Canis lupus familiaris: one gene and its partner. The protein of the gene in region 2 interacts with the protein of the main gene of each other region in a biochemical or structural test. Links are inferred from orthologs where the notes say so. Each region holds a gene or a part of one and is shown on either strand. Other genes may lie near its edges.

What was found.
Region 1: the proteins of PTEN (region 2) and SSR4 form a complex in vitro, tested with the Homo sapiens proteins (2 studies listed by BioGRID). The link is inferred for Canis lupus familiaris from reciprocal best matches to the Homo sapiens genes PTEN and SSR4.

Annotation. Positions count from the first base shown.
Region 1 is NC_049260.1:122,795,647-122,799,738, forward strand, and holds the start of SSR4 (translocon-associated protein subunit delta precursor), read left to right. Parts: upstream 1-1,233; 5' UTR 1,234-1,294; coding exon 1,295-1,361; intron 1,362-3,259; coding exon 3,260-3,378; intron 3,379-4,092. Other genes in the region: IDH3G (isocitrate dehydrogenase [NAD] subunit gamma, mitochondrial), read right to left, coding at 834-914. UniProt on the Homo sapiens protein: TRAP proteins are part of a complex whose function is to bind calcium to the ER membrane and thereby regulate the retention of ER resident proteins.
Region 2 is NC_049247.1:38,200,513-38,202,882, reverse strand, and holds the end of PTEN (phosphatidylinositol 3,4,5-trisphosphate 3-phosphatase and dual-specificity protein phosphatase PTEN), read right to left. Parts: intron 773-2,370; coding exon 587-772; 3' UTR 511-586; downstream 1-510. UniProt on the Homo sapiens protein: Dual-specificity protein phosphatase, dephosphorylating tyrosine-, serine- and threonine-phosphorylated proteins.

The sequences.
Region 1 (4,092 bases), on a different chromosome or scaffold from region 2:
GTTAGCAAAGTCACAGGATTCTGGAAGGTCAAGGTTGGCTAGTTCCTTTGAGCCGGAGGGGAAACTGGAGTTCAGAGACAGGAGGGTGGCCATACTGTGGGTCAGTGCGGGGAGCCAGGCCTGGAGGTCATACGTCTTGACCCCTAGAGCCAGTCCGGGCTCTCTGATGCTTCCGATGGCTTCTGACTCACCCAGAGTAAACTACCCTCGCTTAAGTGTGAAAAGAAAGAGGAATGAGACCTGAATAACCAAGATCCTAAACGGAGAACTGAGGAAGCAAAGCCCCCACGGCTTCCCACCTCCCCAGTCTCAGAAAATCTAGCTCACTTCCATTTCAGGCGCCTGCGGGGAGAAGGCATCTGGGGCTATAAAGATGTCCAGGGGGAGGGTGTGGTATCAGGGATACCGGGAAAGTCCGGTTCTCCAACTCCACTGGGACAAGCGACAAAGCAGTCCGTAAGAGAAAATCCCGAGGAGGAACGGGGACTGGGAACGGGATTCCTAAGACGGCAAGAGTCCCGCGGGCCGGGACACGTGACCGCCTCGGGACCAAAGATCCCGAGGCTCCCACAATGACACTAGGAGGTGACACTTGGCCCGTTGCTGCCCACTCTCCTCGCCGGTCCGGAGCTCCCCCCGCCCAAGATGCAGACCCCTGGGAAAGCAGGACGAGGGCCAACTTTACCCAAGCCCCTCACTGACAGCAGAGGCAGCCAATCAAGTGCGGCGCCTAGCCCTCTCCCCGCCCCTCGCGGGGCCCACAGCCAATCGGGCTCCAAGACGCTCTGCAAGCCTGTGGCCTGCCAGCGAGCGCCGCAGCTGTCCCTTCTCACCTCCCAAGGACGGCAGAGGAGAGCGGGTCTGAGTACCGCCTTTGGAGCGCCGCGGACGACCGCCGCCACCTTCAGCGCCATGACGGAACGTGAGAGCCGTCGCACGTCCAGACACAGAGACACCGCTCTCGCGAGAGTTCGGCAGGGTGCGAAGTGCCGGAAGCGAGCACGGACCCGGCAGTGCGCACGCGCACGGCCGCGCCGGTTCCCACGCCCCCTTCCGGCGCGGACAGCGCCGCCGCCGCCGCCGCTGCCGCCGCCGCCGCCGCCATCTTGGTGGGGCGGCCACCTGGGCCTCTGGTCTGGGGAGGGGACACGTCAGTGCCGCCAGCGGCGTCACAGGCCCGCCCGGCCCGCGGGCGCCTGATTGGCTGCCGCTGCTGCTTACGCGTCGTGCTTCCTCGTCTGTCCCTCGTGTCGAGGGGAGTCGGTCTCTTTTTTCCCTCGGCAGAGAAGAGGCGATGGCGGCGCTGGCATCCCTCGGCGCCCTGGCGCTCCTCCTGCTGTCCAGCCTCTCCTGCTGCTCAGGTAGCGGCCTGGCCGGGGCTCCTTTCTGGCGAGCCTCTTTCCCACGACTGGTGGTGCGTGGGGGAGGAGGGGTGCGGGCGAAGCAGGGTTCTGGGCCTTCTTCCTCCGAGAGGCAGGTGGCCTCGGGGCGCGGCGACCGTTTAGCCAGCGGCCAGGCTGCGGGGGAAACAGCCAGAGATTCCTTCCGTCTCCTCCCGCGAGGAAGAGCCCCAGAGCCTGCCCTGTGCGCCCGCTTCCCAGCCCCAGCAAGGAAAGTGACACATGTCCCTGTTCCCCCTCGGAGCTCCCAGTCCCGGAGGGCGGGGGTGGGGGCGGACAAGAGCAAAACTCTGCCGCGCAGTGCGATCGGAGTGAGAAACTGGGCTGGGGGGAGAGGAGCCACTTGACCCGGTGAGGTGAGACCAGGCCTCCCCAGGCAGGGAGCTGTAAAGAGAGGAAGCAGGGACGGTCCAGGCAGAGGGACCGTGAGCATGGGCAAGTTAGATAGGAGCATCAGAAGAGGGGAAAAAGGTAGAAGAGATTGGGGGTGCGGCGCTGGGGTGCCAGGCCGGACTGTTGACTTTTTCCCTGAGGTCCTGGTGTATTGGTAAGGGGCTTTTCAGCAGAGCTGAGCCACAGTCAGATCAATGAACATTCTTGAGAGATTCTTAACACCTGGTGGCACGGTTGAGCTCAAACCGGAGTCCAGAAGTGTGTTTAGGAGGAGATCCTTGCCCGAACCACTGCTAAGCCTGGGGGGTGCTTAGACTCGGTTGGGGATGCCTTCTTCACATTCACTTCACCTGCCCTGCTCAGGCCAGAGCATTTGGTGCCTGGAGTGTTTCATCAGCCTAACTGGCATTCCTGCCTGCACCCCCCTCACCTTCCCCTTGGGGATTACCCACCGTGTAGCCTGCGATGTCTGGAAAGGACAAACCTGGCTGTGAAACTCTTGGATGTTCCTCAGGGTCCATAGGGCAAAGGCCAAGCTTAGTGGAAGCCACATATGTGGCTCCAGACAATCACTCCCTACTGATGTTCCCAGGCATCTTCCTCCAGCCCAGATTCAGGAGCTTCTCTGTCTCAGCCTAATGCATGGCTCTGCCAGGACACATTCCAAGAGCAGTTGGCTGACAACTTCCCCACTGGTTAGCATCTGCTTGGCACCCTGTGTTTTAGGCAGTGCCCTTCCTAACCTGTAGCAGTTCAGTCTCCAGCAATGTGGAGGTGGCTGAGGCAGCATCCTTTCTCTCCCGGCAGCCCTGTTAAAGGGGACAAACTGGGCCCATTTCCTTCCCTTGGGAAATGCTGGGTCCAGTCTTGGCCTTCTATCACCCGTGGCTGGAGCCAGAGACCCCTTCATCTCAAGCCTGCATGCATTGCAGGCAGCACCACGCTTGCTGTCTGCGGAGGATGCCTTCAGTAAACTGACCAGGGCCATGCGTGGCTCTGAATTGAGGTCTGTCTGCCCCTCCCCTAGGGCTTCTGGGGTGTTCCAGGGCAGGCTGCAGCCCAGAGTCATCGCATGGCTTCCCTGTCCATAGGTCGAGGCATAGGCACCAGTTGTCCAGTAAATCTATCCAGCTGCTGCTGCCCCTCTCCCCAATAAACACATAATCTTTTTCTCTTTCTCTTCCCTTCCTCCCTCTCTCTCTCTCCCTTGCTCTTCTTTTGAAAATAGCCTTTCTATCTGCCCCATCTGCCTAGCCTTCCTTCAAAACTGTCTCACCCTCCCCCCACTTACTGCTGCATTTCTGACTGAGCATTTGGATCTGTTGCCCACACCCCACCTGACAGATTGCAAAGGGCCCCATGTGCCAGCTGACAAGGTCTGGGAAGTGGGTCTGGGTGGTCCCTCCTGCCCCCCAGCCCATTACCCACGAGTTGGGCCTTACGTAGGTATGTCTACCTCCCCACAGCGGAGGCCTGCGTGGAGCCCCAGATCACCCCTTCCTACTACACCACCTCGGATGCCGTCATTTCCACTGAGACTGTTTTCATCGTGGAGATCTCCCTGACGTGCAAGAACAGGGTCCAGGTGAGGCAGTGGGGGTTCAGCCAGGAGAGTGTGGGGCAAAAGGTGGGCACTGAGCCTGGGACCTGGGGCATCAATTCCTCACTGGCAGCTGGTGGGGTCAGACCCATGTGAACAGACGGAGGGTGAGGAGAGAAAGGTCAGGGCACAGCCAGGCCAGGCTGGTTTTTTTTAAGAGATTTCATTTATTTATTCATGAGAGACACAGAGAGAGAGAGAGAGGCAGAGACACAGGCAGAGGGAGAAGCAGGCTCCACGCAGGGAGCATGACATGGGACTCGATCTTGGGTCTCCAGGATCACACCCTGGGCCAAAGTTGGCGCTAAACCTCTGAGCCACGGGGGCTGCTCCAGGCCAGGCTGTTTAAAGGAGGTGTTTAGCGCTGCCTTCAGTTCAGGGTGTGATCCTGGAGACCTGGGAGCCAGTCCCACGTCAGGCTCCCTGCGTGGAGCCTGCTCCTCCCTCTGCCTGTGTCTCTGCCTCTCTCTCTCTGTGTATCTCTCATAAAAAAATAAGTAAAATCTTTAAAAAAGGGGGGGACGCGTGGGTGGCTCAGCAGTTTAGTGCCTGCCTTTGGCCCAGGGCACGATCCTGGAGTCCTGGGATCGAGTCCCACGTTGGGCTCCTGGCGTGGAGCCTGCTTCTCCCTCCTCCTGTGCCTCTGCCTCTCTCTCTCTCTCTATGTCTATCATAAAAATAAATAAATATTTTTTAAAA
Region 2 (2,370 bases):
AAGAAAGGTGCATGAAATAGCTGGAGATGGTCTATGGTCCAGAGTTCAGCATGACAGATCTCCCTTTCTGAGCACTCCCTCCGTTCCCCTAACCCGAATACATGCATTAGAATGTAGCAAAACCCTCGAGAAACTCCTCTTAGCCAACTGCAGACTTATCTGTTGCCACAAGTGCAAAGGGGTAGGATGTGAACCTGTATATCACAAAACTCTTTAGCCACTTCAGTTGGTGACAGAACACAAAATGAGAAATTCCTACGTATACACATCAGTCTGTCTCCACTTTTTATAAAACTGGAATAAAATGGGAAAGTGCCATCTTTATTTATCCTAATTGAATTTTCAATGTCCTTTTGACACAAAAAGGTATATACATGACACAGCTACACAACCTTTTTTCAACTGGACAACAAGTGTCAAAACCCCGTGGATGTATAGGGCAAAACGAGATTGGTCAGGAAGAGAGAATTGTTCCTATAACTGGTAATCTGACACAATGTCCTATTGCCATTAAAAAAAAAAGGTCCAATTTCAGTTTATTCAAGTTTGTTTTCATGGTGTTTTATCCCTCTTGATTAAAAAAAATTCAGACTTTTGTGATTTGTGTGTGCTGATCTTCATCAAAGGGTTCATTCTCTGGGTCAGAGTCAGTGGTGTCAGAATATCTATAATGATCAGGTTCATTGTCACTAACATCTGGCGTCACAGAAGTTGAACTGCTAGCCTCCGGGTTTGATGGCTCCTCTACAGTTTTTGTGAAGTACAGCTTCACCTAGAGAAAAAAAGGCAAAGTTTAAATGGAAAGTCCAGGAATCTGACTAATCTTAAATTACTTGGCAAAGATACATATTTTTAGCAGGTTCGTTTTTAAAAGTGCTGTGGCACACAGGATCTCGAAAAGGCAATGTCTTTTCAATGACCCTCTTCTTCAGTTTTCCTCTAGGTTTTCGTGTTACACACTGAAAACATACACTAGTTAACATACTCGTCTTTAATAAGCGGAAGCTGCAAGCATTAACTAATTCCACAAGAGATGCACAGAGACTGAAGTTCATCAGTCATTTACAAAATGTATTTTCAAACACAAAATTCAATGAAAAACAGCTGAGTTCCAAAAGAATGTTTCACTTACTACCTGTCTGAATCTTTGTGCATTTTCTGATACAAATAATACTAAACAAATACAAGTATTATAAAAACACTGAGCAATAATGATGGTTAGGATCTCATTAGCCCTCGAGGTTAAGAACAGCATACAACGATCTAAGGGCCTCTGCAGGCGGTGCTGAGTAACCTGTCAAACAACTCAACAAGGCAGGTATTTCCATCTGGGAGGACAGGAAGCTAAGGCCCAGAAAGGCAAGTAGGTAGTGGATGTGAGGTTTTGATAGGATCTGCCGTGAAACCCCTGCCCTGTTTTCCAATAATCAGCATCAATTCCCCTCATCTTACATCCAGCATCCGTTCCATCAGTAAATCCTTTCAGTTCCACCTGTAGAATGCCACCTCCACCCACTCTGATGGCTTCTCACTGCCCCACTAGCGCTGCCACCGCTAGTCCAAGCAACCACTATCTCCCGTCTGGAAGAGACCACTCTAGCAACTTCTTACCTCACCTCCCATCTCTGTTCTTGCCTCCTCTCCCTAACTTTCCTCTCCAGTCCACATTTTAAAAAATATTTTATTTATTTATTTATTTATTTGACAGAGAGATAGAGAGCGAGCATGAGCAGGGGGGAGAGGCTGAGGGAGAAGCAGAAGCAGGCTCCCCGCTGAGCAGGGAGCCCGATGTGGGGCTCGATTCCAGGACCCTGAGATCATGACCTGAGCCAAAGGCAGATGCTTCATGGACTGAGCCACCCAGGCACCCCTCCAGTCTACATTTTAAAGACAAAATTCAGATGACATCCTTCCTGTGCTGAAAACACCTCAATGTCTTCAGACTCCGACTGCCACGCTTTAGTCAAAACGACTGCGTATCTACTGCTCCCCAAACATATGAGAATTATTCCCGTCTCAGAGCTCTCATCCCAGGTATTTGTACAGCTCACTCATCTCATTTAGGCCTCCGATGAAATGTCACCTTCTCTTAACTACTGAGCTAAAACATACACCAAGGTCATTCTCTATCCCACTTCTACTTTCTTTGTTCATAAGTACTTACCATCATATATCTCTGCTTACTGATAATTGAAATAGTTTTTATTTGTAAACATAAATATTTAATCTTATTAAAAAAGGAAACAAAATAGCAGCAGTCACACTTTAAAAGCTATTAATTAAGGAAAATGCAGACTTAGGTAAAAGATAGTAATGGAAACCCACGGATTCCAAAAGATAGTATCCAAAGATACTTCTAACCACTTAAAA